Bombyx mori: one gene and its partners. The protein of the gene in region 3 purifies or fractionates together with the protein of the main gene of each other region. This does not show direct contact. Links are inferred from orthologs where the notes say so. Each region holds a gene or a part of one and is shown on either strand. Other genes may lie near its edges.

Region 1 (10,796 bases), on a different chromosome or scaffold from region 3:
ATGATGTCACAGGAAGGAACTTTAATCATGTGGTAAAGTTTGAGTGGCCATTACAAAAAATGAGAAAATTTTGGTTTCTTATTCAGTAAATACAACTTTTATAAAATAATTTTAAAGATTTAATTTAAATACAGATTAATGAAAAAATATAATTTTCATATTTTTTCCAAAATTCGAACAGAACCTAACCTAAGTTTAGAAATACAGCAAACTGCCAACGATACCGCCTATCAAGCTATATTTAACATAGTATAGTGTTCATTTAGTTTAATTTGATTGAAATTCAAATAATGAATACCAAGTCGAGATGCATATTTTCAAATCTCAGCAGTCTGTTATTCCAATTGTTCCAACTGAACATTGACGAAATAAATTGCGAAGCCAGACGAAGTGACAATTTCCGTAATTACATTTCGCAACCGATCCAACAGAACTATCGAAGATATAGTTAAGGAAATCAACCATTTGTAAATAGTGGCTTTGTAATATCACTGATATAATATCCGAATTTTCAAGAATCAAGGCATATTTGCACAATATCAGAAGCTCGACTTTACTCTTACTCTGTCTACAATTTTAGAAGCAAACGGTCTTGAATAGTGTATAGTCATTATTAAGTTATCAATTTCCGGTCCCAATAGTTAATTGATTTAGAGTACAACAATTATTTCGTCTTCATAATCAACTAGATATGTGTCGATCGTTCAATTTTAGAGATTCAGATCAGTACTGACCTGTTGACAAAATGATCCGGTTCGTACGACCCGTTCAGTCAAACGAACGACTAAGCGAGACGGGCGCGGGGCGAGACGCGGCAACCCGAAATGACCCGAATGACCGTCGTACTCGTATGGTTCTTTTCTTCTGATTCGTAGGTTTTGTGTTAAACGAGTCGATTTAGTGAACGACTCATATTTTTTAAAGTTACCCTATCGTTCGCGCGGAATTTGAGACCCGGGTCGTTTGACTCGTTCGTTCGCGAACGACACATATCTATAATCAACACAACAACCATCAAAACGAAACAGAACACACAAATAGTCAAAAACCTTTTTTATATTATAATTATATTAATATAACGATTTTCATACCGCAATATAAGTTTTTTTTGTCTGCATGAATAAAATGTTTAAATAACATTCAATATACATATAACTAAATATATAAACTATAACTAAAAAAAAAAAACCAATTTATTACATAATATGAATACTTCGTATGATAATGATAATCTTCGTATGATAATCGTACAATTTATAAAGAACATCATTGCTAACGTTTCGTAAAATATGATTTTTCAAACCGAAGAGAGAAAATAGGAAATATAAAGTCATAATGATGTAGGAACTTGAAAGGAAACTATTACGATGTACATTCAAGATTTGGTTAAGTGCAGGGATAAGATCAAGAAAGTGGATCAGCCATGACTAATATTGTTAATAGCCAAACGAATTTACCCGTAGCGATATACATATTAGAAACATTTCTTAAAAATCTGACTCGAGTAAATATTGTCAAATGTATGGAACTTCTCTTTGATGTTGTCTCTCTTTCTTTCTCACTCTCTCTTGTTACATCTTGTAAGCAAACGTCTCACTTATGCAGCCGATGGAGGACTCTAATCAAAGGCGGATAGGACACGCTGCGGGGTCTGTCACCGGACACAAAATTGGTATGCAATGGTGTATGTATATAAATTTATATATCCGGAAATTCAATACGTAAATCAAGAATTCAATAAATTATATTAAAATAGTTTAATGACCTCGCTTCGTAATATGATGCTCTTTCGTGAATATCCTTCAGTGAAGACGTACATACATATTTTAATGTCTTCGCAATAGCAGCCCTAACCTTTATTCTCTGTACCTACCTATGTTTTATTGTTGTCAACTTTACAAGTGTCCATCGGGTGTTTGTGATCATGAAATCGCCACCAATCTGTTTTACTATGATTAAATCTTATTTTATTCTCATGACTTACAAATTACTAGGTAGCTTAATTTTTTTTAGGTATATTTATATAATATCCATGTCCGAACAAAATATACAGAAAAAATTATTTTAAATATTCATGTTTAGGTAGCTGACGACAAATGCGACGCTTGAAAACCATTTTAATGGCAAAACAATATAAACAATTCACTAGTTTAAATATTTTTAATGCACCACAGCAAAGATATTATTACGTGATGAACAATTCATTATTAATTTTACAATTTCTCAATTAATTTTAAATTATAATCAATCAATCATCTTGAGATGCTTCCACGTCTTTATTTAGATCAATCATATATTATTTATTTAACATTTTATTCAAATAATAATAATATAATTACGATGATAAATCGTCGGCCACTGGCTCGGCTTAACCTCGTTCCATAAACAATAGATATTATATTATTATAACCCAGCCAATTTAAGAATAATATAAATTCTAAAAACAAAACTTGTACTTTAAATTCTTCAAATCAAAGTCATTTTTTGTTTTTGTTTTATGAATCACACTGATATTATATTTATTTTGAAGCGTTATATATATCCTCCTGTTATTTTCTATTCGCTTAGGATATTTTGAAAACGGGACCGATCCTAACACAATCCAATCTTTGCAGAAGCACCTTAAGAGTAAACTGCTTAGAACTAATATTAACTTCAGTCTTACAGCTAAACTGAGGTCTTTCCAGGGGTGTGTATCCAGGGGGGATACGATGAGCCAAATGGCGTTGTCAAAAACAACATGTATTTCTCAATGTAGAATAGAACACCAGCCCACTGAGTTTCTCGTCGAATCTTCTTAGTGGATCGCGATTTCGATCCGGTGGTAGATTCTGTGAAGCACTGCTCTTGTAAGGGGTTAGTGTTAGCAACGTCGTCAGGTTAGAGCTCCGTGAGCTCACCTACTAATTTCGTAGAATCTATAGTATAACCCCTCGAAGTTACCAGAATACGTAGGAAAAAAAACCAACAAGCTAGTGATCTACAATAACGAAAGAAATTGGATTTTCTTAAAACCCTCAATTCTGAGTAAACATACCAAGTTACAATCTATTCGGAAAACTTTATAACTCTCGTGATCACGTCTGTCTGCTTAGTAGGTGGAAAGTGTTCCATTCTACGACTAGTGAAAACCTCATAACGGAAAATGGCATTAAAATATGGACATTATATGGTTATTTGTTAAATGGTCATGTTTGCCGTTTTGATGCTATTGAAACTTTTCTCCGTATACGTATAAAGCATATCGTAAACAAGGTCCAGTCGTTAGATCATGATCATCATCCTCATCTACAAAGTTTCGCGTATAGTCCCCCCCCCCCTTTTGGTCACGGTCATTACGCACCTTAGAAAAGACCTGAGTTTAACTGCAGCCACGTAATGAATATGCTATGCATGTTACGTAAGTGATAATAATATATTAATAAAGTTTATGACTAAATGATCGTATATATACAATAACAGCAGAACGCTGGTGGCTAAATAATGTACAAAAATCGAAGCTGCTTTCAAATGACGTAAATATCTATTTTACATGATATTATACTTTCTATATCGAGATGTCTTCAAAACGCTGCTACCAGTTTTGCTATTTATTTATTATAATAAAAAGCAATTAATAATCCCTTGTGTATATTAACGAACATAAGTTTTTTGTACGTAGTATTTTTTGCAAATTCATTTTTGTTGTAGCAAACGTTAAAGGAACAGTCCGAATTTTTTTAATATAGTCTACACATTATTGGTCATTAAAAAAAAAAGGTATTACATATACGACACATCGAAAACAAATTATAAACTAAACCTACGGAATTGTTTTGTGTTCTTACTTAGTGTCAATCCTTCTACATGATGGATTGCGAATAATTCTGTATTTTCTATTGTGTATCACAATTCACATTACAACTGTATATTAGAAAATAGTACAAAACATGTCATTATTTATTTTAATCCACGTATATTTATTTATTTTAAAAGACATTTACGTTTTTCAAAAGCAACGATATCATCTCGAAGCTGTGTTTAGTTGTGGAACAAAACGATCAAGATTATTGACACCACAATGATCAATATTATCGCCAAGTAGACTTTCTTCTTCCTCAGTTTGTTCTGGAAAAAAAAGTTAATACACGTAAACAACAAAAACGTACCACAAGTTTTCAATAATTAATATTTTTATCTTTATTGATATATAGTATTCTCGCATTAAAGCTGTATAATATCAAAACTTACTAATTTTACAGGAGAGTGTTTTAAAGGTCTATAACATGTGATATTTTTAATATTAATCATCTTTGCAACATTTTTTTATTTTATTTTTTACCAGCTACACTATGTGTCTTTTAAAGTAAGATAAAATTATGTATTAATTTTGTTAATAGTAGTCAAAACATAGGTAAAGTAAAAAAAAAAAAAAAACTAAAATACGCTCTTTGGACAGTATTTATGAGAAAAATACTGGTCATACCAAATGATTCCGCATATTAACTCAATTTCGAATATTTTTGGAAATTGTACTTTTAATGCGAAAAGACTATATTTCTTCTATGCGTGTGTTTGTCACTGAACTCCTCCTCCTAAACGGCTGGACCGATTTGAATAATTTTTTTGTATGCGCTTGGGTGGCGCCCTGGATGGTTTAGATTCACAAATCAGCCCGGTAGATGGCGCTGCAGTCGGTATCTAGACTATTTATCTATATTACAACTAAATGGCTGGACCGACTTAAATGATTGTTTCAGGACAACGTCTGTCGGGTCCGCTAGTCTATATATATATAAAAATCAATAGCTGTTCGTTAGTCTCGCTAAAACTAGAGAAATTTGTGGAAGTCCAGAGAAGTTTTAAAAGGTAGATAAATATGAAAATGCTCGGAATTAAATTAAAAAAAAAAAACAATTTATTTTATACAAAAGTTTAGGTCTTTTATTTATCGGTTGAGGCACTACGAAGTCTGCCGAGTCAGCTAGTATTATAATACATATGTCTGATGTATGTTTTTCTTTTTGTGTAATGTAGGTTACTGTTAAAATAAAGTATTAATATAATATTTACTTTGTAATTCCCAGCCTCCCGGAGTTGCTGTGTGGCGCTCTCGACGTTCTGTGCCGTGTATTCAACACTAGACTCGATGGAGTCCACAACTTCGCCTTGAGCGTGTATCATTGTACTCAGCTCTTTGAAGATGTCGTTAACGGTTAGTATGTCACTCTAAAACAAACGGTCAGATTTGATATTCCTTAAATACAATTACTTTAACTAGTGGCCGCCCAGTAGTCGAAATTCGACTATAATTATTAATTTAAATCAGGGGTTACCAAACTTATTTTGTCTACTGCCCACTTTGAGAATAAATTATTTTTAGCGCCCCCATTTTTTCAACTACTTCAAAACCACTATAGCGAGAGCTCAGCCGGTGTCTAAGAGTCTTCCTAGATGAAATTACAAATCGCCTCCCAAGCCTCTACACAACGCCCCCATTTTTTTCTGGGTCTCTTACCGCCCCCCTTTAGGCCTGCAACGCCCACAAAGCGGCGTTATCGCCCATTTTGGGAAAAGCTAATTTAAATTATAAGTTTTAACATTATGATGGTTCTATTGTCAATGAACTTTACTTCTATAACCACAGATTTCGCCAAGGGTACCTACACTATAAATAAGTAGTATGTATTAAAGACAAACAATATTAATCTATTCTCCATTTGACATTAATATAAGACATTACAGGCATTCATTTTAGAATTCAAATTCATTAAATTAATTTTTTGTTTTATTTAAAAAAAAACCTCTTTTTATCATGATCGATACTGGGCGAATAATAAAATTTAATAGATATGATTATGATATTTCTTTTGGAGTTTAGTTAAATTATGAAATATATATACCTCAAGTTGCCGAATATCTCTTTCGCGTTCCTCCAATTCGACGAGAGAACGTTCAGCTTGCATATTCATTTGCTCCTGCTTACGGACATCTGTCTCGGTCATCTCTACCAAATCTTTGTTACTGTCTACACAAACAACATCATAATTATGTAAATAGGTCAAATTTTCCGTATGTTGAAATTCTATGATTTTTTTTTATTGCTTAGATGGGTGGACGAGCTCACAGCCCACCTGGTGTTAAGGTTACTGGAGCCCATAGACATCTACAACGTAAATGCGCCACCCACCGCGAGATATAAGTTCTAAGGTCTCAAGTATAGTTACAACGGCTGCCCCACACTTCAAGCCGAAACGCATTACTGCTTCACGGCAGAAATAGGCAGGGTGGTGGTGCCTACCCGCGCGGACACACAAGAGGTCCTACCACCAGTAAAAGATGTCCTACCACCAGTAAATTTAATTCGTTATTAATTCAAATTTTTAGGAGACCATTTCCGAAGAGAAAACTAAAATTTTCTAATAGCCTGATGTACTGCTGGTCTAATCCAAACGCTATTTCAGGTCACACGTGGACTTGATTTGTAGACGAATAATAGACTACAGACTATTTGCAAAAGATCCCAGGAGTCGAAGCATAAGATTATTAATTACTGAACTATTGCACAAACATACTTGTTTACACACACACACACGCATACACACACTCGTTTTTGTTAGATTTATATTTCGTGTTCGTTCCCTCTAGAAAGTTGACCCCGAGCCTTAGTTATTTTGAATTGTATTAAATTGCGAGCAATACAAAAAAAAGGAATGGTGAAATTTAATTTCTCAAACGTGACTTATTCTTTCATGTCGTGCTAGGGATCGCCAGTTCTACTACTACCTCTGTCTGATGGAACAGTTCACGTTGTATTGTAATCTCTTTTCTATTTTGTAATAGATATATGACTTTTACTTTTTAGTACATACTTTTTTTACTTTAGTACTTTTAGTACTTTTTAGTAATGTGAGAAAAAGTTTATACTTACTCCCCATAGCGAAAGGATCCCCAATATTTATAGACTGAGCCTTTGCTTTTTTCACATCTTCTTTTGTCTTTTGCGCAACGAGTCGTTGTGTTGCCTGAAAAAATAAATAAAAAATATATTTTCTAGTCTAAAAAATAAAGATTGTACATATAATAGAATGTTACAAATACCAGCAAGTACACATTCCCATATTATAATATGTTTGGACTTAATAAAGGGTTGCTATACAGTTATGCTAATGAAAAAAATACTGCAGGACAAATAAATTCAAAACAAATTTATATTATGTTTTAGACGATTAGATTAAAATAAATAGTAAAAGAATTTTTTTAACCATAAAATTCAATGAATAACAAACTCTTGACTGTGCACTATTTTAGAGACGCGTCTAGCCGTTTTATATATTATCATTTGTAATAGATAGATAGATAATATATTATTATTTGGCGATACATAATGTTTGTAAATTATTGAATATTAATATTAATTTAATTTTTTAATTTTACTCCTAACGTTTGCGTAAACATTAAAACTTCTGAATTTCTGAAAAATACGAAATTCTGCATCACTCATCGCTAAGATTACTTATAGACAGAACTGGCCAATTACCTAATGCTTATAATTTTATCTTCTCATTTTCTTAAGAAATACTTGAATGAACTAGTCTTCCAAGCTATTACTATTTTACTCCCTATTACCTACTTAACATGAGTTATACTTTGTTTTCTTTTTTAATATACAATTTTTTTGTATACTATTATGCGCTATTTAACTTTCTATATCCCTATGTATGCTTAAATCTTTAAAGCTACGCGACGGATTTTGATGCGGTTTTTTAGATAATAATAAACAAATAAACAGAGTGATTGAAGAGGAATGTTTATATGTATAACTAGCTTCGCCCCGCGGTGTCACCCGCGATACGACAATAACCGCGGGTAACATCGCGGGACTCGGCTATCAATAATAAAATTTAATGTTTCCGAAGCGAAGTGAGGGCGGGTTAGTTAACAATATATTAATGTCACAATAACGATATTTAATAAATTAAGCACACACCTGGAAACTATTAAGAGTGGCAATATACTCATCACTGAGTCGTTCTCTGGTAAGTTTGTTGGCAGCGTTATCTTTAGGCATTCTCATCAACTCCATTAACAAAGAGGAAGTGTCCTTTGCCAGCTTCTGAGTGTAATTTTGTATTTGGCGTCTGTCATGAAAAAGTTATTCTTAAGTTAAGATATGTTTAGAAAACAATATGCTAAATCTCTATCAAGTATATTGCAGTTATAATTTCTAAGCTGATGATACTGCTTAATGTGAAATAAACAAGGCAAATTAATATGCCAATGTTTTTAATTAAATTAAACACAAAAGAAATAAAATGCAGAGTATGAAAGTAAAACTTACAACTGAGCCCTAAGCTCTTGGGAGTCTTGAGGTGTTTGTAACTGATTGACCATCTTTGACATTGAGGATACTGAAAAGAATTATGGTTCTGGGATGAGTACAACAAAATATTGATTAACATCTCCTAATTGTTAATTAAAAATGTAGTAGGTGGTATAATGTTACAACTTAATGGTTGCATCCTACTGTATTAACCAGTGATACTTTCATTTTTAATTATGATCCATCAATATAATTGATAAGTTTACAGTTTAGGTGCAAGGGTATTTCGATAATACTGCTTACTTTGAAACTTATGTAACAATACCCCAAGTACTTTTACCATTGGATAGTATCATCAGATCCTTTGGTAAATTCCAATATAGATCAGATATTATTGAATGATTTCTATGATTATTTTTATTGTATAGAGAGATAAAGAAACTCAAAACCCACCTAATATTTAATGATTACCATATTATTATCCCACACACTTCACTCGAGACTTGAGGTATATCTAAATTAAATATTGAAGGAATATTGTGAGCTTGCATGGGTAGGTGCTACCCTCTTGCTTATTTCTGCCAGTTAAACTTATGTGTTACAGTATGGAAAGGTTGAACAGCCATTGTGCAATACAATTGAGATGTGAACCTAATGATTCAAAGTGGATGACAGCATTCATATTGCTCAATAGGTTTCAGTAACAGCTTTGTAAGTTCATTCACCAACTTAAATAAAAAAGAGCATGTACAACCATGAAGAAATACAATCTAGGTATAAATGAAAATCAGAAAAAAAAGGGTTAATTACTAATGATACATTATAATGAGTTCCTATTTCTGCCACAATTTAATCCTGTTTGAAGGGTTAACTTTTATACAATATAATTGAGAGATCCACACTATGCCCTATTGTGAATGGTGGCATTCCTTTGGATTTCTGGGCTCATCTACCTATGAATAATGTATTTTATGGATAATGTATTTAAACGATTGCCTTTGTTTACTAGATAGTAGAAATATAATCTATACTAATATTATAAAGAGGAAAGATTGGTTTGTTTGTTTGTTTCGAATAGGCTCCGAAACTACTGGACCGATTTGAAAAATTATTTTTCCATTAGAAGCCGACATTGTCCCTGATGAACATAGGCTACTTTTTTAATTTTTTTTTTTTTTTTAGGTTTCATGTGTGTTTTAATGTTTCCGAAGCGAAGCGAGGGCGGGTCGCTAGTATTATATAAAATAATAGTTCAGATTTCAGGGAACATTTTTAGTTTTGAAAATTACTGAAAAACTTAAAGCTTAGCAAATTTTAATTTTAAATTTTAATGTTTCTTATCATTATTATAATCATTTCAATTAACAGAGCCATCATATTAACAGTCCTGATAAGCACTAATGAAGTTCAACTACATAAAAACATGATTTATGTACAAGGAAAATGTACAACAGTAATTATATAGGTAGTAAGTGAAAAGTTTTAGCTATTTTTCTCATTTGCTTTTTCCTTATACAATCAATTTATTTCATTTTCTAATGTATGTATACGTATATTATATATACTACTAAATTAAGAATTGTGAAATACGATATACTTCTTAGGATTAAAATATAAATAAAATTTAATTTGTAATGTTATTCTAAAGCCAATTTATTGTTAATTAAATTTCACATTGCAAAATAGCACATTCTAGCAAGTTTTTATGGGTTTTGTTTATTTGTGGAGACCACTGTAATATTGTTTCTAGTTCTTTACTACTACGTCTACAACTAAAGTAGTTATATTATATTATATATTATATTATGTACATGAGTATTAAAAGAGTAATTTCCCAAAGTCATTGCCATAATTCATATTAACAATTTCGAAAAATCCATGTTAGAACTATTTCAAACTGTTAAAGAGTACTTTAAAAGAGACCTTAATTTATTTATGGAAGTAAACTAAATATACAGAGCTTAAAATGAATCTATATATTGGTAGCTTAGGAAGTTACATAAAAGAGAAAGCCTTTGCTACCACAACACACAGGACAAACGCCTTCGATTTGATGAGAATCCGATCAAACCCTCCCACTCATATCCTCACACATAAAAACCAATAACAGCCGCCAAACGGATAATCCAACCAAATTATGAAAACCAAACAAAAGAAATAACACAATTTCCTGCAAGCCACAAGTCCTTGCAGGAGAAAAGGAGCACAATCCTCCAACCACATAAGAAAACAATTGCAAAATTTTTAAAACAATTACACAAGATCAAAAGAGATCAGTATAAAGTAGGTTGGAGGAGGCCTTTGCCAACAGCCTATGGATTTACAGAAAGTAAAGAAGCACCAAATATGTGAATAATTTTAATTGTGTTAAATACATAAAAGTGCAGTAGTATAAGAAAGATAATTGTAAATCTGTTGTCTGAACAAAAGGCTTTATTATTTTATATATTGAAATTTATTAAAAGTACTTATGTTAGTTATTAATTATTTAAGA
Region 2 (11,218 bases), on a different chromosome or scaffold from region 3:
GGCTCGCGGGGGGGCGGCAGCTCGTAGGCGTGCAGGTCGGCGGCGCCGGCGGCCGTCAGCTTGTCGGCGTCGCGCAGCTCGCGGCCGATGGTGGCGCCGGACAGCTCCGCCAGCAGCAGCCTGCGACACGCGCGCTCGTGAGCCCGGGCCGCCGTGCGCGCACTGGGCCCGGCGCCGCCACGGTACTCACAGGTCCGGCGGGAGGCCGCACAGCTCCGACAGCTTCCTCTTGAGGTCCAGGTACGTCCCTTCCGAGTTGACTCTGACGCCGTACTTCACGGGGACCGATCCGTCTAGTAGTATCACTGTAATGTTTGATAATAATTTACAATTGTGCACTCGGCTCTCCTGGCGCTACGTTTGTTACGTTAGGAAATAACTTCCTTACGGAAGGGGCGGAGCTCCACAGGGGTCGGTCCTTGACCCTCTCTTGTGGAACATCGGCTATGATTGGGTCCTGCGGGGCGCTCTTAGCGCTTCTCTCCCGGGTCTGAGTGTAGTTTGTTACGCAGACGACACTTTGGTCCTGGCCCGGGGGAGGGACTTGTGCTAGTCTGTCCTCCGCGGGGGTGGCCCTCGTCATCGGCAGGATTCGAAGGCTGGGTCTGGAGGTTGCGTTCGATAAATCCCAGGCCCTGTTGTTTCACGGGGCCCGCCCGCACGTTTCAAAGCGCCGCCTCAGGGGGCCCACCTCTGATCGGGGACGTCCGCGTCGAGATCGAGGCGACCCGCTTGCGGTACCTCGGTCTCGTATTGGACGGTCGTTGGAGTTTCCGGGCTCACTTCGAAAGATTGGGTCTCTGACTGATGGCGGCCGCCGGCTCGCTGAGTCGGCTGTTGCCGAACGTTGGTGGTCCCGACATAGTGGTGCGGCGGCACTGTACGAGGCTCCCGTGTGGTGCCACGCCCTGACCCGCGACAACGTCGCGGCGTCGCACTGTCTCGTTCGAGGCGGCGTGCGTGCTCGCCGGGACGCCTCCCTGGGACCTGGAAGCGGAGGCGCTCGCTGCGGATTACGCGTGGCGATGTGATCTCCGCTCCAGGGGGGAGCCGCGTCCCGGCGCGGCGGAAGTTCGAGCGCGGAAGCTTCAATCTCGGCGTGCCGTGCTCGAGGCGTGGTCTCGCCGCCTGGCGGACCCCGCCTACCGGCGACGGACCGTCGAGGCGATCCGCCCGGTTCTCTCGGACTGGGTGAATCGCGACCGAGGACGTCTCACCTTCCGAGCGACGCAGGTGCTCACGGGACACGGCTGTTTCGGTCGCTACCTGCACCTCGTCGCCCGGAGGGAGCCGACGCCGAAGTGCCACTACTGCAGTGCAGGACACACACAGTGCAGAACACGGCGCGGCACACGCTCGCGCACTGCCCCCGAAGCGCCGCGTCCTCGTTGCAAATATAGGACCGGACTTGTCGCTGCCGACCGTCGTGGCTACGATGCTCGACAGCGAAAAGTCCAGGCAGGCGATGCTCGACTTCTGCGAGTTCACCATCTCGCAAGGAGACGGCGGAACGGGAGAGGGAGAGCTCTTCTTCCCTCTTGGCGCCGTGCCGCCGCCCCCGAGCCGGGAGTCGGAGGAGGGCATTCATCCAGCTCCGACCCTGTAAGGAGGTAGTCTCCTCCCGGTGATGGTCACGGGGCGATTTGAGGGGGTTGAGGCTGCGCCGCACGCTACCGTCACTCTAGCGCGCTGGCACCAGGAGGACGGGACGGCGCGTCGGCGGCTGAGGACTGCGATGCGGTCCGCATTGTCGTCGTCACTGTCGTCGCCGAACATACTGTGGAAGAGCAACCCGGTCGGTGGTGGATCGCATTCCGACCTGGCAGGCTGGTTCCGGCCCAACGGGGTATCCTGGAACATCAGCGGCATCGCCCGGACCTGGTAGGGGCGCCGTACCGCGGAGACCGGCGTCGTCGGTTGTCGACTATCGCCTCGACGACCCGTCGGTCGGGCGTCCTCGGGGTGGCGCCGCGTGTCTGGTTGTAGTGTTGACTGCGGGAACCCCCCTACTCTGACCGGGTTCTGACCCCAGACGGAGATCGGACGTCGGGTGTAAGAATGCAAGGGAGTCGTTTAATGCGGTAGGGCCCTAAAAATCCTTGGGCCCGCGGTCTGCTCCCAACATCTTCAGATCGTCAAACCCTATAACCCCGCGCGCCCTTTAGGCGCGGGCAACTCGTAGGAGGTGCAGCCCCCGGGCCGAAAAAAGAAAAAAACTAGATAACTTTCTTGCCGTTTGCTTGCATGCTTTGTTGTGGAGAAGCGGTGGGCGGCGGCATGGCTCTGCCCTTGCATCGCTACGACCATGAGTGACGGTAGCCAATCACCATCAGGTGGGCCGCATGCTCGTCTGTCTGGGTATAAAAAAAATGTTATGCAACGCAAAAGAAAAACATTTTCATATGTTTTTTTTTTGTAATTGCTTTAGTTTATGTTAGTTACAGCATCAGTGGTCCACTCGCAATGAGTGCAGAGTCCCCGGCCACGTGTGCCCGACCATGTTGAGAAGTTAAGTCCTTGTACCTTTGATCTCGCAGCGCAGGTAGGACTCCATGGGCAGCGGCAGGCTCAGCATGTTGAAGGCGTCGAAGCGGACGCTCTCGTGGCCGCACGTGTCGCAGCGCACCTTGGACTTCAGCTGCCCGTAGAACAGCTCCGTGATGATGGACTGGTTCCGCGCCGTGTGCGCCTCCCACGCCTCGGCCGCCACCACCTGAGCGCACAGTGCATACATAGTCCCCGCGCACGCCGCGGCGGGGCGGGGCGGGGGTGGGGGCGGGGGCGGGGCGCACCTGGTCGGGGCGGCCGGCGGAGTCCGCGGGGGCGGGCGCGGGCGCGGGGGGGCGCGCGCGGTTGAGGTCCTCGTGCAGCGCGTCCAGCAGCCACGCCAGCAGCTCCTGCGCGTCGTGCTGGCCGCCGCCCGCCAGCGCGCGCGCGTGCCGGGACACGCACCAGCGCACGCCCAGCGGCGCCACCGAGCGCGCGCTGCACGACCACACCTGCGCGCGCACCGCACTCGGGTTACAAGCATTACAATAAAGGGGACTGTTTAACATCAATTTCTCATCGTAATAAACACAGAGTATAATAACCGGCAAACTTCTTGAGCATTTGTTGACGTAGTGGGGGTAAGTTTGCGCATGGTACACTCACGTGCAAAAACATTATTTACTCTGCGTCATAATGCTATTAAATTATTAAAATCAACATATGTATTTTTTTATATATTTATTAGATCATCAACAAAAAATGTAGGTTAATAATTATAATAATTTAATCTTGGGGTAAAATAGATATTCCTTCTATTAAGTCAAAACTAGAGCTGTGGCCAGGTCTTGGTTCAGTTGAAGCGAAGCTGGTATTTGTATTTTTTTTTTCGTTATCATAATCTTGACCCATCATCATCATCACTGTTTTCATCACCCGAGTCGCTATCATCGTGATTAGTCGACATAGGGCTCATCGGTGTAGTTTACAACTCGGTCGATTCGGTCTTCTTTTTTGTCTATAATTAATTATTTTTTGAAGATATTCGATTCGTAGTAATCGAATGTTACTTTTTTCAATTACCAGCTTCCGATTATTTTCTGTTCTTTTTTTTCCATCTAAAGCCTAGCTCTTTCATAATACGTCGTAAGCTTCATTCCGAGCCATTAAAATTTATATCTTCTTTAAAATTTTCGAAGCCTTTCTACGGTACGGAGTTTCGCTGCTTGTTATGTAGTTATTATGATTACATCTTTTTATTACAGATTGAACGAAACTATCCATTCCGGTAACTTTCTTCTTTCCTGATCTTTTCTTACCCGGAGTCCGAAACACGGCGAGCAAGCCAGAGCCTTTAGCTTCCTTAATAATGCACCTAACAGTACTCACTGATGGTTTTGTTACTTCCGAAGTTTGTTTTAATTTTTCCATATTATTCTTCCCCTGTTTTATAATGAAGCAATATACGTCGTACACAATTTTTCTACCCTTTCTTTTGAATACTACACCGGTTTGTCGCGGCATAGTGTATGTTTATAAAAAATCAACAAACACTCAACAAATAGCAATGGCAACAAAGTCCACAAGTAATTATAACAAATAACTTAACGATTAATAACGATAGACTTTTCACTGTACGCAAGCGTACTTTTGGGAGCAAGCGGAACGAGGGCGCGGTGCGGGACGCAAGGTTCGACTGATCTACCAATAACGCGCTCGATACGATTTCCCCTGCCGTCGCGCCTCACCCTCACCACCAAAGTGATCTAAAATTCGGTTCTGCGCAGTCAAGGTCATTTGCTCAAGATGTTTGCCGGTTACTATAATTAGTTGAAGATTAGATGATTCGATTATCACATTCAATCGTTATTATTTTTATAGTAAGTAGGTGAATCGTTATATTTGCGCCGATATATAAGATGAAAGCTGTGCGGGAACTCCTCCACAGCTCAACACCCGGTACCTCCTTGCACAGCTCCCCGTAGCGCACGGCCAGCGCGCCGCCGGTGCCCAGCGGGTTGCCGGGGTTCACCTCGTACAGGTGCATGCCGGAGTTGAAGTAGCGCGTCAGCGGGCCCGTGTTCCACACCTGCGGACACACGGTGCCGGTGCATTACAGTACACTCCATGAGACACTGTGAGGCAACTGTCGCAGTGTGCAGCCGAGACTTCGACCTCACGCCTCGAGGCGGGTACGTTGACTGACCGACTGCAGCGCCGCGTTCATGAAGCAGGTGTTCCCCAGGTTGTGCAGGCCGGTGGCTCCCGGCAGGTTGGGGGCGATGAGGGTCTCGCGTCTCTCCGTCGCGCGGTTGGAGCTGGAACACAACAGACTCTCAGTGAATGTACGTTGGCGACTGAGTCGCGGGCGCGCTCCGCCGAGTCGCGTACCTGATGGCTCCGATCTCCTCCGGCCACGTGAGGTCCTTGTTCCGGAGCTCGAGCAGCAGCCGGGAGCGCTCGTCGAGGTGCAGCTCGTGCAGCGTGCGCTGCTCGTCGTCCAGCAGCACGCCCCCCGCGTGGCCCCCCGCCTGCGCGCCGGCAACGCCCCCCCCTTGCCCCCCCAGCAGCCACAGGCGCATGTCTTCTCGTGCCAGACCCAAGGCGCCGCATATAAACTCGCAAACCTACACACACCGGTACACAAGTTGATGAGGTAACGTCAGACTCGACACACGGGTGCATACAGCAAACAAAACAGAAGCAAGCGTGGTGTGCACCGACCTGGCGGATGGTGGCGAGGCGCGAGAAGGCGGCGGTGTAGGCGAGCTGGCGGTCCGGCACGCAGCCCGCCGAGCCTGCGACAAGGACGCACTACACTTGTCTACCGTTCCCACCTCTACCGCTCACCGGCCGACCGTCGACGTTCCTCCCTGATTGCTGTCGCATCTCTTTCTTCAAAAGAAGTTTGAGAAGCTACGAACCCGACTTTATCAACGTCCCCGGCGGACGGTAACCAGTTACCAAAAGAGCGGCCGTAAAGTCTTCCATCGTTGGCATTACAAAGGCATGTGTAGTTAGTAGTGTAGTGGCGGCGGGTGCGTACCGTGCGTGCCGAGCGCGGCAGGCACGTGCCGCATGATCTTGAGCTGCAGCGGGTACAGCTCCAGCTCCACGTCAGAGTTCGGAGGCCTTATCACCTGGAACGCAGACCTCCAGCTTATTCACTGTGCTTCATCTGTATCACTGAATCACTATAGTAGAATTATTTTGTCCGTGCAGTTCGGGTCTTAAAACATAGCCCGGCTAGAGCGGTGGGGCATGTTGTGCGGGCGCAACGGCATTATCGATAAAAATAAATGAGTCATCGAAGGCAGGTACACGGCGGCGGGGTGGCATACGTAGGGTGGTGAGACATTGTTATGTTATGAGTAATTTGTTGAACCTACCTGCAAATTATAGTACATATATCAAAGAGAAATGCGATTTTGTGCATTCGCTCTCTGAATTTCTTTAGTGACACAATGGCTACTCCTTTGTTTTGTACCAAAACGGCAAAATGTATTCAAATATTTTGCTTGTTGGCAAAAATATACCAGCACAAGCATGTGTTATTATCAACAATGTGTTAAAATTTTTCACTGAAATGAGAATAAATCCCGAAAAGTTACAAAGTGTTCATTTCTGCCGTTCTCTTTAACTTGCTGCGGCGATATGTGACGTAAGTGTTGGATTAGTGATTTTTTTCTTTCATTATTATCACTAACCCACAAAATGACAAAACTAAATACACTATCGATAACGCTTATCGACAACAATAATGCGTATCACTATGCCCGTTCATAAGGCTCGTGAGTGGAAGAGAGAGCGAAATATTCGCTGCACCGCTCCGATTTTTTACGAACCCAAGCTGCACGGACAAAATAATTCTATTATATACTACTTCAAACTACAGCTCTCATAGTTTACATTATTAACGGTTACTGTAACAGGAAGTCCCCGACACAGTGCCTTGTGACCCCCTGGAACTATACCAAGAGATTCTCGGCCATAAAACAATTATTCTACACAATTATTAATTGAAAAATAAAGGTTTTTTTTAAATTGTTTGTTAACATCGATCAAAAAGTCCGCAGTATACGCGGCTCCGGGTCCGGGCACCGCCAGCTCTGTAGCCGAAAGCCCCGATATGTTCTTTCTTAATTAGAAATTAACGCAGCAGAGCTCGACTTTGAAGCCGTCGTGGGCTGCGGGTCCGCAGGGGTAGTGTGCAATACGAACTAAACAAATGTTTACGATTGACCTCCACAATAATGGAATAACATTGTGTATTAAAAGTTATACCGAAAATTATAATTTGCATAACTACTGGTGCTAGGACGTTTTGTGGGCCCGCACGGGTAGGTACCACCGCCCTGCCTGTTTCTGTCGTGAAGCAGCAGTGCAGTTCAGTTTGAAGGGCGAGGCAGCCGCGCTATACTAGGCAGCTGGGAACCCAGACCTCATGTTTCAAAGTGGGCGAGACATTCAGGTATTGATATCTGCGCGCTCCAGTAATCACTTAACACCAAATGTGTCGTGAGCTCGGTCACCCGTACACGTAATAAATAAATAAAGAAAAGCAAAGGGATGATTGTTGATAAAGCAAACCTGTCTGGGCAGAGGGTCGGGTCCTCCGTACCAGAGCGCCAGGGCCCTCCACAGCGCGTCCGGCACCAGCTCAAAGTCGCGGTGCTGCGCCAGCGTCACGTCGCGCCGCAGGTGGCCGCCCTCGCCTGTTAGCGTACGGACCTGTTCAATGTTTTATATTTTTTGTATTTTACAAGCAAATAAATCCGTGAGCTCTCCTCCGAGAGGGAGTGTCGTGGGTCGCGGGCCCCGGCGCGGGACGGACCTTGAGCGTGTTGTCCGCCAGCAGGCGCTTGTTCCGCACGGAGCCGGGGTGCCGGCGCGGCGACGCGGCGCTGCTGACGCCGCTGCTGGAGCCCGCGCTGTCCACGGAGGCCGTCTCGCAGCGCCACAGCAGCGAGCCCATGGACTCCGTGGAGTTGGTCATGAAGCTGTCGTCGGCCAGCGTCGCGGGCCGGCAGCACGCGTCCGCCGCGTCCCCCGTGTAGGCCAGCCACGCGCCCCACCACTCGGCCGCCACCAGGTACCAGAACTGTCCCACGCTGTACCCCCGCGCCACCGAGCGACGCAGCCAGCCCAGCACTGCAATCAGCGCACACGTCGCCGTTAGGAGGCGATGCAACAAGCGGGAGGGGAGGGGGAGGGGCAACGCGTACTGACCGATGTCCCTCTCGCTGTGTCGGCAGTGCGGCCGCAGCCCCAGCACGATGTGGCACACCTGGTAGACGAGGTCGAGGAAGGGCGTCACGACTCCGTGGGCGCTCTCCACCGACCAGATGAGGAAGTCCTCCAGCGTCAGCACCGTCTCCGGAAGCAGCACGTCTCCATCGGCCTTGCTCTCCGGCTATAAAGTTAGTAACGAGCGTCTCAGGTCGCGACCGGAATTTGTTGAAACTTCTTTGGATCTAGACTCTTTCGACTGTACACCGATGTCTCTCTCATCCGATTCGTGCTCAATAAGTACAATTTCAACACGTTTTAATACCTTGGTTTTAATGGAACATAGAAAAATAAGTATATGTGGTTGTCTGGCTAAGTCTCAGTAACAAGTTGCAACAAGTGCCTGGAAAAAAATATTTCAAGGAGTCTCGAGGTACCCCGGAAGAGAATTTAATTCTTCAAAATATGTGTCACCACTTTTAAAGTGTGGAGCAGGCTTCACATGTGGCCGGGCTCCGCGTCCAGCTACTGTCCGGGGTGGCGACCACTTATCACATGTCGCCTGTTCTGTGCCTCCATCACTCTATCGTTGTATTGTACCAATGAATAGAACTGACCACATTAATGATATCTTCAGTATCTCCGTGGGGTCCGAGGTGGAAGTTCGGTTTCCGTCCGTTCTTGGGTGCGACGACCAGCTTGTCCCTCAAGTTGGCGAGGATCACGTCCGGGTCGAAGTTCTGGATCCCCATCTCGCTCCCATCGGGCGTGGAGGATCTGGACCCCTGGTTCTTGAGGTTCTCGTTGGCCACCTCGCACAGGACACTCACCATATCGATGAGTTCTTTTTTATTCAAGAGTCCATCGCTGTCCAGATCGAAGATCTTGAAGCAAACTATAGACAAAACGAGCTCACTTGAACATGTGCCACGTGGAGCCGCGCGCCCGCGGACTGTCTCCCTGCGCGTGACGTCACAAGGACGGGGAAACGTTTGGGGGGACAGTAAAGCAACACAAATAAGAATAAAAATTGTACAATTAATGTCATTGTTACGCTGATGCATTGTTATTTAATATTTATCTACGTAACGATATAATTATTTACAAAAAAATTGTAATCAATTTTTAGTTTTGAATTGTTTTTATTATTATTTTATTGCTTAGATATGTGGACGAGCTCACAGCCCACCTGGTTGTTAAGTGGTTACTGGAGCCCAAAGACATATACAAAGTAAATGGGCCACCCACATTGAGATATAAGTTGTAAGGTCTCAGTATAGGTACAACGGCTGCCCCACCTTTCAAACCGAAATGCATTACTGCTTCACGGCAGAAATAGGCAGGGCGGTGGTACCTACCCGTGCGGACTCACAAGAGGTCCTACCACCAGTAATTACGCAAATTATAATTTTGCGGGTTTGATTTTTATTACACGATGTTATTCCTTCACCGTGGAAGTCAATCGTGAACATTAAATTTGTTAAGTACGTATTCCATTAGAAAAATTGGTACCCGCGTGTGGTATTCGAACACCGGTGCATCGCTAGATACGAATACACCGGACGTCTTATCCTTTGGGCCACGACGATTTTTTAAAATGTACTAGAGGTCCCGCAGTAGTTGAAATTCGACTGTAATTAATTGGAATTGTAAGTTTGTACACTATTATGATTGTATTTTATACTTCTATAATCACAAATTTCGCCAAGACTACACTATAAAAAATATTAACAAAGACAAACCATATTCTATTCCCAATTTGACCACAGACGTCAAGAACAAAAGTTTGACAATAAATACCTAGTATGCATGCGTGTGTGCGTCAAATACATGGTATGTAGTGTGTGTAATGTTTTCTTTATTGATTAAATGTATTTAAAAAAAAAAAAATATGCATTGCGCACTCTACGCTTCTCTATATTCTCTATAAGTGTGGAAAATTTCATACTCCTTCGTCCGCGCAATTTTCTTAAAAAGGGATATAAAGTTTTTGCTTCACGTATTAATATATAGATGAATGAAACTTAGTTTAAAGACAACACGAGTGTGTATTCTAGGCGTTCGAGTCCTGCGGCCAGCATGCGTCCTGCTCCTGCTCACTCGCAACAGTTTGGTGAAATAATAAAAAAAATTAACAGAATTACGTGTTTATTGTTTATTGTACCTATTGACTCCGACGCGACGCCGCGCGGCGACGTTACAAATGCTTTACAGTATTCGTGGCCACGGACGACTGACGAATTCATGATCAAATAATAATATTTTATACGTTATCTTTACGACAAGTAGTGAACACGTGATAATATTGAATTGAAGAGATAGGTTCACGTTCATGTGGATATATTTCTAGAACGAAACCCTTATCATCACAGTCGGTTGCTCTAGCTAGGCAGAGCAGTCGTGATCATGTGGAATTCTCGTTTATTAAAGCCTTGACAGATGTTTTCCATAGTTTGCGAACTGAGGCTTGGCGCACGCACTCGTTAATTGGGGTTTTAGTAAAGTCTTTCACCTGATCAGTCGCATGGAGCTTCCCTTAAACCCTTATAATTAACGTAAAATAATAATGTTTATTTGAAATTGCATTTTTATCTGTCGACTAGCAAGCAATATCTCTGTACGTCTTGGCAAGCAACCTTGAATGCAAACGCTTCCTTAACAGTCTTAAGAAGAATGAAGACAGTTTGGCAGCCTTGGTAGCTCTGTCAAACTCAAGCAAAGTGCTCTGCGTCAAATTGAGCCCGCAACCTGAAGGTCACATGTCCTAGTCCGGAATGCATCGCCATATGGGTTTCCGGGAGACGTTTGAGCTAGAGGTGTTGTTCTATAAGGAATAGGAAGTATGGCAATTACACCCTTCAATTAGACAACTGATTAAGCTTTTCAAGGATTATTTTCTCACTACCGATATCTAAAGATAACTCGCGAGATAGCATACATTTTAAAATGTACTTGTCGTACAATTTACAAATTAGTTTTTGTCCCATGTCCGTTCCATCCCTAGTTAGATTAATAAGAAATATGCTAGTAGAATTGAAGTCTAGATAAATCTTACTACCAGGCGTTGCCTGCAGGTGCTGCTATTATATAATAACATCATGTGATTTTAGTAGCAGTGAAGGAGTATTAAAAAAAAATTTGTAGTTAATTTTGTAACAGATTGCGTCATAGTACAGATAGTCCAATTTATTTATACAGCACAGGCAATAGTTCTATTCAGTCCTAGAGGTACTACTACTCTAGCTGGGTCCCGTCCTAGAGGAATTATTACCGTAAGAATGCCGACTTTTTTTTTCCTACCTATGCTGATAGCCTTGAGAGACTATATCAGCTTCGCCCTAACGTGTAGGTGAGCTCACGGGGCTCAAAGTAAGGGTGAGTAGTGCTAACACTGGCCCTAGATAGACGAACCTGTTATACAGACGTTATAATACATAAGTGCTACACCGGACAGAGACGGCCGGCGCAGCTCGAACTCCGCGTCTCGCGCTAGGAAGTGCCC
Region 3 (11,793 bases):
TGAAAATTTTAATGCGGCTAACAATTTCATGGATTTAGATATTTTAGAGAAGAATAAATATAGAGCATTCATTCCTACCTTTCAAGTTACTCGCATGGGTATCGTTAGAAATATTCCTACAGAATGGTCTGAAGAAGAAATAATTAATAATATCAGTGTTCCGTTAGGTTGCGGAAAAATCCTAAAAATTAGGAGATTAAGAAGAAAAATCACTGTAAATGATAATAAAACTTTTATTGACACAGAATCCGTGGTAATAACATTTGATGGACAGGTTTTACCTAAAAGAGTATATATGTGTTTTACATCATTACCAGTTGATTTATACATTTATCCTACAGTTCAATGTTTTAATTGCTGTAGATTCGGTCATGTTAGAGCTCAGTGTAGATCGAAACCGCGTTGTTTTAAATGTGGTCAAGATCATACAGGAGATTCTTGTAATGTAGAGGAGGAAAATGTTTCCTGTTGTCTTTGTAACGGCTTACACTTTGCTATAAATAAGAAATGTCCAGAATTTGAAAGACAAAGGGCCATAAAGCAGACAATGGCGAACAGTTGTGTGTCATACTTGGAAGCATGTAAACTTCATCCTCCAGTGTATAAATCGTATGCTGATGTTCTTTCTTCAATTCCATCGGATCGTAAGAATCATTCAACGTTTCATGAATCTACTGCCCCCAGCCCAGTAATTGCCAGTAAAAGTCCATCGTCATATAAAAAAACAGTTTTTATGAAACCTCGATCTCCCTTTAAAGGTGATAAAGGTTTTGATCAAAGGGCCCATAGAAATCTTACAAGAGATTACGATGCTCCATCTCCTTCTAATGGCTGTGCTTTAAAATTTAATGAAAATTCCGAATCTCCTGTGGCTGAAATAATTATTGCTCTTATTAATTTACTTGCTCCTAATAACGCTACACCGTCCAACGCAGCTGATATCATAAGACAAATTTTAAACAAAACATACAATGGCTCCACAAATAAAAAAGATGATTCAGTGGAACTGTCGAAGTATTCTAAGTAAAAAGTCTGATCTCATTCACTTAATAAATAAACACTCTCCAATCATAGTTTCTTTACAGGAAACATGGTTGAAAAGTATATATCCTTTCAAAATCAAAGGATATACCTGTATCCGTGAAGATCGTATTGACGGGTACAGTGGTGTTGCTCTTCTTGTAAATAGTGTTCTTAGCTTTAAACTTGTAGATATACCTGATCATAGTTTTGGTTTATCCATTATTGCGGTCATTGTAAATAATATATGTATAGTTAGTCTATATATTCCCCACCCTTCTGTAGAGATTTACAAAGAGTTTATAACTATTATTTTGAATCTTCCTAGACCAATCATAATAATGGGTGATTTTAATGCTCACCATCAAACATGGGGAAGCTCAATATCTAATGAATTTGGAGATATAATTCTTGATTTTGTTAATGAACAGAATTTGTGTATTTTAAATTCTGGAAGTCCAACTCGTAGAACTGGTCCTGATCAAATTGTTAGTGCTCCTGATATATCTATTTCCTCCCCATCTCTGGTGCCGTCTTTGTCCTGGAAAACATTAAAATTAAGTTATGGAAGTGACCACTATCCTATTATTATTTCATTTTCACACAATAACATAGTAATTAAGGATCATTCTAAACATAAGTCTACAATAAAGTACAACCTATCTCAAGTAACAGATGAGGATTGGAAAACGTTTCAATCGCGTTTGGATATTAAACTTGCCAACTGTGAAAATATTAATAACTTAGATTCTGATGCACAAGCAAAAATTTTAGCTTCTGCTTTTATAGAAACAGCTGATGAAGTTTTCCCTTCTAAAAGCCCTTCTGGTATTTTTATTCCTTCTCCTCCTTGGTGGGACCGGGAGTGCACTCAGGCGGTAAAGGAGAGAAAAGCAGCCGAATTATTATATTTAGAAGAAACTATTACAGAAAATTTTGATATTCTAACAGAAAGAATCAATAGTACTCGGAATCTTTTATTAAAAAAGAAACGAGAAGGTTTTAAAAAATTTTGTGCTTCGATTTGTCCTAATATCTCACCTTCTGAAGTATGGAACCAAATAAGAAGATTTAGATCTGCATATAAAGAAAATACAGTCAAAGACTTGCCTTATGATCTGGCTGACAAGTTTCTTGATAAATTAGCTCCCCCTTATGTTCCAGAAGAATGTTTAGTTCTTATCCCGTCTGTCCTTCCTTTCTCATGTTCAGATCCAGTTTCAGATTTTGATTTACCTTTTTCATTTAATGAACTGAAGGGGGTAATCTCGAATCTTAAGGACTCTGCTCCAGGTGATGATAAGATTCCTTATTCTTTCTTTGTCCATTTGAGTGATTCTAGTCTCACATATTACCTCAACCTTATAAATTCTATGTTCATTACATGTGTTATCCCAGAGTCATGGAAAAAACAAATTATTTTACCCATTCTCAAACCGGGTAAATCTTCATCAGATGTATTGTCATACAGACCCATAGCTCTCTCATCTGTAATGTTGAAAATTTTAGAACATTTAATTAAAATTAGACTAGAATGGTTTGTGGAAAGTAACAGTTTACTCAGTGACAGTCAAAACGGATTTAGAAGGGGTAAAAGCACAATGGACAATCTTGCTATCTTTATAGTGGATATTTTGGTAGCTTTCTCAAACTCTGAATCTATTGTAGCTGGATTTCTGGATATTTCCGCTGCATATGATAATGTACATATTCCTACACTGCTTTACAAATTACAGAAAATAAGGGTTCCTGTTAGACTTGCTAACTTGATTATTACTATAATGTCAAATCGAACTATCATTTTAAACTCTACCTCTTCAGATTCACAACAATCTAGAACTTTATGGAGAGGTCTTCCTCAAGGATCTGTGTTAAGTCCAATTTTATACAATATATACACTTGTGATTTGGAAGAGACCCTTGGAAATCAAGTAAGAATTCTTCAATATGCTGATGACCTCCTTATGTACACTTGCAATAAAGACATACATAAAGCTTGCTTATCCCTTAGGAATTCATTTCTAACTCTTAAATCTTGGTTAGATAATAATGGACTTTCCCTTTCTGCCTCCAAAAGTTCTATTGTTGTATTCTCTAGAAAACGTTCTCTTCCTCCAATTAGTATATTGTATGAGAATGAATTAATTTCTGTAAATAGTCATGTTAAATTTTTAGGTTTAATTTTAGATTCAAAATTGAATGGAATTCAACATTGTAATTACATTACAAACAAGTGTTTGAGTAATATGAATATCTTACGTTCTCTTGCCGGTGTATGGTGGGGTGCCCACCCATTCAATTTAAAACTTTTATATAATGCCATAGTAAGATCAGTTTTAGATTATGGTACTTTTTTACTTCAACCAGGGGATGTGAATGCTTTCAAAAAACTAGACACTATACAGTCTAAGTCACTCAGAATTATCACTGGAGCCATGAAATCTAGTCCTGTTACAGCATTACAGGTAGAATGTGTTGATCCTCCTCTTCATTTGAGACGTCAATATTTATCTGATAAATTCGTTTTCAAATCCCTACAAATTCAAAATAATCACATTATTACCAAACTTAAAACTTTAAATGAACTCATAGAATACTCTTCATTTTGGAAACATAAACAGTTACCATGTTTAATAATTAGCTACAGAAAATATTTGTCTATTCAAACTCCAACTAATCACTCTCATATTTTCCCTCTATTTTGTGTAAACTATATGGCATTGATTTTAAAACCGGATATTCATCTTGACATGGGTATTTCTAAGTATCAACCCCAACCAAATACTAACTTTAATTTTGTAATAGACCAAGACTGGAATGACTATAACCATATATATACAGATGCTTCCAAACACCCTCAAGGTTGTGTTGGTGTAGGAGTCTACCATTCGCAATCAAAAATAGTTGAAAAGATAAAATTACCATCTGAAACATCAGTGTTCACTGGTGAATGTTTTGGAATATACAAGGCCATAGAATACATTTTGATATTCAAACTAAAGAAAACTTTAATACTAACCGATTCAAAGAGTTCTTTACAGGCTCTTGCAAAATTTCCTTTTAAATCTCAACCGATTTACCCTATTCTCTTAGACTGTAGAAACCTGTTAATGAAATGTATGGATCAAAATCTTACAGTATCATTTGTATGGATACCTAGCCATTGCGGAATTAAAGGAAATGAAATAGTTGATAGAATTGCAAACGAGGCTATCAATTGTGGTGATATTTATTATTTCAAAAATTATAGTCATGATTTAGTTAGCCTTCCTAAAACATATTTGAATAATGCTTGGAGTGCACAGTGGTATAATGGCGTTAAAGCAAAATATTATCGAAGGGTACAACCAACCATTCCTTCCAAACCATGGTTCTACAAATATAATTTTAAACGCCACGAGACTTCCAGTTTGATACGGATGAGATTAGGCCACACGTGTAGTCCGGCACATCTAGCGACGATCGGAGTGCTGGATAGCAGTAAGTGTGAGTGCGGTGCGGACATTGGCGATTTAAATCACATTATTCTTTCATGTCCCCTTTTTGATCATTCACTTCTTTATAGTTCTTTATCATCACTTAGTATTCCTTTTCCTATATCTGTACCTTATTTATTACATACAGTAGACCCAGTTATTTATAAAATTATTATCTTATTCCTCAACAGTTTTAACCTAAAATTATAATTATATATATTATTTATTCTTCCTAATTATATTAATCCTAATCCAATTTTCCTGCCTAAACCTTATCTAACTTATATTTTCTGATTTGATTTTTGCTTCCTAACCTTTATTTTGAAAGTGGCAAATAACACTTGGTGTTGGGTCCAAAAAGAAAAAAAAAAAAAAAAAAAGTAGGTATGTACCTACCTACCAAGGAATAAAGTATAAAGTAATAGGTGCCAACAGACATTGCAATAAATGTATTCATAATTTCAGTTGCGGTTTGCAACGTACCACGTATTCTATTTTCATAAAGTTCGCTACCAATTAGACTAGGCTTTGGTGGTTTATATGATCACATTAAAATTCAAAACGCTTTTATCTTCGTAGTTCACAGTTCAAATTAATATTTACAAAAGTTGAAAGTTTCTTTGGTTTTATTGCAGTGCACCTACGTAGCCCCGTACTAGGTTTGTGTTTCATTAATTACTATCTATCGCCCAAAAATTGTAGAGCTTAATTCTTAATTTTATATTATGACAACTTTATGGTCAACTTAAATGAATAGTTAATGGTAAAGTTTTCTGATTAACCAAATCGCTTAATGCATTTTTCACATTTCGCGTATGTAGTCACCTACGTCTTTCATAAGCAAAATTGTAATCGTGATGAAAACAATATGCATTTTTATCACGAACATAATTATTTAATTAGAAATGTTTTGTTATCAATAATGATATTGAACGTTTTGTGACGTTTCCAATTAGAGTATTTCATTGAAAATTTTGATTTAATTGTAATCTTCCTTATTTTTTCACCAAAACTAATTTTGGCTTGCATTTGGTTACATTGGCAAGTTGTTTCATAATGGATTGTTATGTAAGTTGCTACCAATAATTTACACTTTACATCCACAATGATACTTTCACTTTAGAAAAGTAGTTGGCCCTGATACAGTTTGCCACTCATGACATACAGTGTAGTACTTTCTAAACAGAACACCTAAAACTAAAATTTAAGGTGAAATATCTTTCAATTAGTTTTCTCAGTACTTTCATTGTTGTATAATAGACTTGCGCAAAACATCATTTCCCAATGTAATGTGATATGACATCACTTTTACAGACAGGTGATATCACTCTTAACATTACTCGGTGCGTTAAATAGATACTGTGACGAAAACATTGTATCTATACACCCGAATCATTACCAAAGTGATGTGCTCATACTTTGTATTGTAATACACTATTATATGACTTGACTTACTTAATAATATAATAATTTTCTTTTTTACTTATAATTTATTGTGGGATGAACGGATTTCATATGGCGACTTAGACTGCAAATTGAGCTCAACAATAATGTAAATATACGAGAGCAGTAGACGCCATTCTTTCTTTCATTTATTAAACACGCATTAATTAATATAAAATATTACTAAACAATTAAGAGCGACTAGCGATTTTACAAAAGTTACGAATAAAAAATTAAGTAACTACTTGCGGGGAACTACCGGCTGGCCACATGAAAAATATAAACATAAATACCTATATTAAAATTCAGACGTACCATAGGTATAAAAATGTACCTAGCGACCAGGGCATACGGTTCAAAATCACTAGGAATAATTCCGTGTCGCTTGCTCATGTATTTTGCGTAGTGCTGTAGCACTGCACGTCAAGCCATCGCGTTGCAGCGTCGATCGGTCTGTCTCGCTCGCTCGGTTCCCTTCATATAATAAGCAACATTACACGACAAAGAAAGGAACATGTTGGGTGATAGTGTGATGTTTGTTTCCTTCGCGTAATGTGTGATGTTGCATTACATCGTAGAGTCATATTACCGGAGTAATATCACTCGCGTTACTTACACATGTCTATTGTATAATTTATCAAAATCTAACTTATTTTTTAACTTGTTCTAATTATGTTAAAAAAGATGTAACGGAATTATATCAGAAACTGAAATGTTGTTCTTGTAAATTGTTAAATTAAATATTAAAACTTATCACTTTTGTTAATTCATATTGCTTTGACTCTCATTCTAAAGCAAAGGCTGGTGTATATAAAGGCTTAGCTGATTTTTTAGTTAAAATGGTATGTTTCAAAAAAATTGAAGACAATTTTGTTCAATTATCAATTAATAAAGACTACAAATATTTCTGTAATAAAAGCAATGATTGACTGGACATAAAAAACTAAAAGCTAATAAATTTCCACTGATAAACAACTGCATTGTTCTGAGTAAGAATAATTACAATAAATGAATAGATAGCAGTGGACAAATAATAAAGTAATCTCAAGTGCACTATTTAATAATGATTATTATCAAAGGTTGTAAGTAACAATGGTTATGCTTATCTTGTACTGTTTTCAAACAAGCTCTGCTTTAATGATTTTCATAACAACACTACTTAATACAATATTGATATAAACTTTATTCATCAATATTTACTTTTTCATTATTTGTCTTCCTTTGAGCGGCGTTTCAATTGAATTATATAGTCTCACTGTTAAGTCTACAAATATTTCTGTCTGTCTATCAACATTTAAACCTAGTACTTTTCTGAAATTCATTTCAAACCTTTATTCCAGATGGACGAACATCATGAACACCACAATATGGATATGGGCCATGCTGGGCATGAACACCATGGGATTGATCATTCAAGACATATAGGCCACCAAATGCCTATTAATGTGAGTTAAAAGTAAATAATATAAATGATACATGATACTTTAAAAGTATGGAATCCATTGATATCAAGTGGACTATTCAACATCGTAAAGTATAGGAAAACAGCTGAGAGGAAAAAAGCACAGATGTCATTATGTTTTTTTTATCAAATAGAAAAAGTTTAAAAAATAATTGAAATAAATAAATAATTGATTACTTATTTCATTGATTTTATTCAAACAATTAAATTTGCTGCTAGTAGGCTTAGATCTTATTTGTTTTTTTTAATAAATAATTATTGAGTATGCATCAAACTTCAAATAAAAATGTATCATGCTTGTTCAAACTGCAAGATACATGGTTTATTTGTTCCGTTTTTTTACCTGCTATTATACTAACTAGGTTTTTTGAATAAAGCCTTAATTTGGATGGGTAGGCACTTAGGCCGTTATCTGCAACTGATCACAAGAATTCAATTACTATGTTTATTTTAGTGAATAATTTTAAGATGAAATGAAAACTGTGTCAAACAAATTGTAATTATTTCAGGGACTTCTTAATTCATCATATAACAGAATTGTGCACAACACAGATATGAATGATCACAATGTCCACACTTTTTCAGGCCATGGTGATCACAGTAGCCACAATATGGGCATGTCCATGACGGTAAGCAAGATATCTCCTAATGTTTCTAAAACATGTTTCCTTGTTGAATTGTTTTTTAAAGGGATTTTATGACCTGGTAACTGAGACCTTTAAGTCATGTCTTATTTTAATTTATATTCATATTTTTTATGAAAAATGATATTATGGAGTGAAATGAAATGAAGATGATTAATTTGAGACACTAATCAGCTGGGATGAAATTAAATGAAATGAAATGAGATGATATAGGATGAAATATAATCTCAGTAAAATGGTGGTCATTTACCTACTAAGATTTTTTCAGTGGACTTTTTGGAGGATCCCGAGAAGTTACGTCCAGAGGCTTTGTTTCATTTTCCCACATTGGTGCACTTTCACAGATATTAAACAGTTAATAAACCACCATTATTACACATTTAAACCTGAAGAAACACTAAATAGACAAAACAAAACAAATTACACAACTTCACTCCTCGCGTTCCCGCCAAAAAGTCCTTTCCTTGTTGAATATGCATTTTTGAGTAGATTAGCATGCTGTCTTTATCTATGTAGAGAGTAAGTTTAGAATAGCAGCACCCCATTTCTTTGTGGTTGTCAAAAAAGAGACTGAGGCTTATAGGAGATGGCCAGCAGCTTTTTCTGAGTATTATACCAACGGATTGTGATCGCCAACCGGCATTTAGTAGGAACTAGGTAGCTTGAAGTCATCATGGCCATAGGATAAGACGGTACATTCGTATCGAGCGATACGACTGGGTCGGTGCTGTTTCTGCCGTGAAGCATAATGCGTTTCGGTTTGAAGGATGGAGCCTCTGTTGTACTGAAAAAACAGACTTAAGCTCACATATCAAGATAGGGCTGCATTAACATAGTTCATGTCTATGGTATTCAGTGACCATTTAACAACAGGTGGTCCGTGAGCTTGTCCACGTGTCCATTTCTATGCAATAAAATAAAGAAAATTTTCTCCTGGTCAACATTACTTAAAATTTTCAACATAAATTTTATTTCATTTTTAGTTTCACGGTGGCTACATTGAAACTATTCTCTTCTCTTGGTGGAACGTAACAGAAGTTGGTGAATTTGTGGGATCATTTTTTGCAATATTTATTATAGCTTTGCTCTATGAAGGGTGAGATATGTTTATAAAATGCAGTAAACAATAATAAAAACAAAAACACGAGCCTCATTTCTGAGTTTTTATGCTGAAATGTTACGTTTTTGTGTTGCAGCCTTAAATATTATAGAAAGCATTTACTATGGAAGACATATGCAGGACTACAGTATTGTGCCGTAGCACCACCAGACAAGGGAGTTGCCAATATTTGTGCAGCAGATGAACCACAAATTGTACAGTAAGTATAATCAAATTGAAAAAAATTAATCAAAACCTAAAAAGATTTTAAACCTTTCCAAAGGTAATGTCTTGCTTAATTGTACATATCTAATGATCTTTATCTGTTTTCGAACATTCTTAAAGTATAAGGTCATGTCGTAATATGGTGAAAATAAATCTAAAATATGTTACCAACATGTCAACTCAGTACTCATTTTATATTCAAATTATTTTAAAAACCCAACCTCTCAAACTTATGTGAACAAACACAGTTGTACACACACTGACTAGCACACGCAGTACACTTCCTTATTTTTAGTTATCTTTAGTGTGTTAACATAATGGTCTCTCAACTTTAATAGAATCACATAGTTGATCGGCGATTCGTCGGATGCGTGTATCAAAGGGTTAAGGAGAACGAGGGAATTCAGGAAATAAATTTCTACCCCTTCTGTAATAGGTGGGCTTCGGATAGCCTGCCGATCGAGAGGGCTGGTGGTCGTGGCGCCGACGACCACCGGCCCGGCGTCCCGAGGGGGAGGGTGATGGGAGAGATGTGCTCCGCACTAAACACTTCACTTTACCCCCTTTGCCTATTCATGAGTTCTCTCATGCGAGGCTTGGACGTGGGTTTTTGAACGACAGCAGGTTTTAGTCAGTTAGACTCCGGCATGTCCCACCGTCCATCCTCAGTGGAGGGCGGAAGTCCGGCGATTTCCTCCTAACCCAAAAACAAAAAAAAAAGAAACAATGCGATACCATGGTAATTGGCTTTCTTCTGGTTACTAAACCTTAACGTTCAGAGCATTTTAATGCGGTCCCCGCTCAGCTACGTGGGATCTATAGTGTTGGGAAGAAGTGAAACGCAAATATCCGATGTAAGCAAATTAACGTTTTTGTCAAAAAAGAAAGTATGTAAATCGCAAGATCACACGTAAGACTTAATCTAATAATATAGGTAGATTAATATTTTTACAAAAGTATCCAAAATTTTACATCACATCATAGATTAGATAAGAACATTTTAAGGCTATGTTCCGATATACACTGCCAGCACTGGTAGATGCTCTTAATAGAGAGAAATTCGTTCCGGTATGGACTGACAGTATAGTCGCAGTATTTTAGGGAAATCTATGACGTCATAAATCGTCGCCATTGTTCTACTGTGAACACAGGTGTTTCCGAAGCAAGGTGCTCTCAATGCTTTGATCACGTGATCACTTTTAACCCCATTTCAATAATTCGGTTATTAAGACATTACATTCTACATTAAATTGTTTAAAAAACTATATTTTATTTTATTAAAAAGTATACTTACTTTTATTAAGCGATTAATTCAGCTGACAATATCTTAAACACCTATTTCTAAATATAACCAAATTTAAACAATATTTTTTTGTGAAAGTGAAAAACATCGCCAAAAAACGTCGATGACAGAATACTATACTGCATTACACTACGTTAATTTTTAAAACGGAAATGTAACCGGTATAGCTAACTATAAAGGAACGGCTTCGCACTTCGCAGTAATAAATTAACGTCACACCTTTAGTGCTCGCAGTGCAAATCGGAACATAGCGAATATAAACAAACCAAACTATAAACTATATAACTCTACTCTCAATCGCGGTTTTTTTTTTAAAGTTGTGCACTGATGTTTACTGTCCCATAAATTAGCCTTTCCATAGGTAAAATTAAATTAAAAAACACTAAGCATGCTACTATAGATAGTGTTGTTATCTAATTGTAATTTTTTTTTTTTTATCGCCAGAGATTATTCGCTACTCGTTTCTTCTGTCTCTGTGTATCATTAATTACTTATTTTTTGTTTTAGGCCAATTCCTCATATGCTTGAAAGAAATGTGTAAGTACCAATCTGTATTGTGGATGAATAAATCGATTGTATTAGTAAAGGCCGTTCCAGTCTTCAAACTGAATGCGTGTTTTCTTCGCAGTCAGGATGGTAGTGCCTATCCATGCAAGCTTATTATATTCTGGTATCACTGGTAAATGGCGGTTCGCAATCGCATTTCTAGGTATAATACTCTGAGAACACTGCTGCCCAATCTCGAGTGAATCCCCTATAGTCTCCTTATACGATACGCATGGGAACAGATGAGGTGGTTAAGACAGACACCACACAAGGCATCTACTAATCTTTAAAACCTAGTTTTACCTTAAAAACGTTTGCCTCATAATCATTAAATAAGTTAATGTTACAGAAATCTCAAGATTTAAGTGTAAAATGAAATTTATTTTACTTCTAAATGTTAATTGGCCGTTGCCTAACTGAAAATCAAACAGGTACACCAAAAAGATTCGATAAGAATTGATTAAAACATTCGATTAATAGAGAGGATTGCAGTAGGGTAAAGTATTTTCGCAATTTTGTTGATTTCAAAACATTTAAAAATAGCTATGTTATTGATTCATAGAATACCTATAAAT

The links.
Region 1: the proteins of high-affinity copper uptake protein 1 (region 3) and syntaxin-7 purify together in Homo sapiens (affinity purification with mass spectrometry; 3 studies listed by BioGRID and IntAct, counting the BioPlex papers as one, with this or other methods). This does not show direct contact. The link is inferred for Bombyx mori from reciprocal best matches to the Homo sapiens genes SLC31A1 and STX7.
Region 2: the proteins of high-affinity copper uptake protein 1 (region 3) and ubiquitin carboxyl-terminal hydrolase 32 purify together in Homo sapiens (co-immunoprecipitation; 3 studies listed by BioGRID and IntAct, with this or other methods). This does not show direct contact. The link is inferred for Bombyx mori from reciprocal best matches to the Homo sapiens genes SLC31A1 and USP32.

Annotation. Positions count from the first base shown.
Region 1 is NC_085107.1:5,743,243-5,754,038, reverse strand, and holds the end of syntaxin-7, read right to left. Parts: intron 8,391-10,796; coding exon 8,321-8,390; intron 8,121-8,320; coding exon 7,970-8,120; intron 7,005-7,969; coding exon 6,911-7,004; intron 6,008-6,910; coding exon 5,883-6,007; intron 5,209-5,882; coding exon 4,960-5,208; 3' UTR 4,898-4,959; downstream 1-4,897. UniProt on the Homo sapiens protein: May be involved in protein trafficking from the plasma membrane to the early endosome (EE) as well as in homotypic fusion of endocytic organelles. Mediates the endocytic trafficking from early endosomes to late endosomes and lysosomes.
Region 2 is NC_085122.1:14,150,086-14,161,303, forward strand, and holds part of ubiquitin carboxyl-terminal hydrolase 32, read right to left. Parts: intron 8,612-11,218; coding exon 8,334-8,611; intron 7,901-8,333; coding exon 7,717-7,900; intron 7,639-7,716; coding exon 7,322-7,638; intron 7,219-7,321; coding exon 7,078-7,218; intron 5,628-7,077; coding exon 5,534-5,627; intron 5,286-5,533; coding exon 5,212-5,285; intron 5,115-5,211; coding exon 4,879-5,114; intron 4,806-4,878; coding exon 4,694-4,805; intron 4,577-4,693; coding exon 4,451-4,576; intron 3,000-4,450; coding exon 2,793-2,999; intron 2,714-2,792; coding exon 2,524-2,713; intron 306-2,523; coding exon 191-305; intron 121-190; coding exon 1-120. UniProt on the Homo sapiens protein: Deubiquitinase that can remove conjugated ubiquitin from target proteins, such as RAB7A and LAMTOR1.
Region 3 is NC_085121.1:6,775,559-6,787,351, reverse strand, and holds the start of high-affinity copper uptake protein 1, read left to right. Parts: upstream 1-5,171; 5' UTR 5,172-5,552; coding exon 5,553-5,564; intron 5,565-5,818; exon of another isoform or gene 5,819-6,778; coding exon of another isoform or gene 6,779-6,781; intron 6,782-7,279; coding exon 7,280-7,384; intron 7,385-7,910; coding exon 7,911-8,030; intron 8,031-9,028; coding exon 9,029-9,141; intron 9,142-9,241; coding exon 9,242-9,364; intron 9,365-11,179; coding exon 11,180-11,209; intron 11,210-11,793.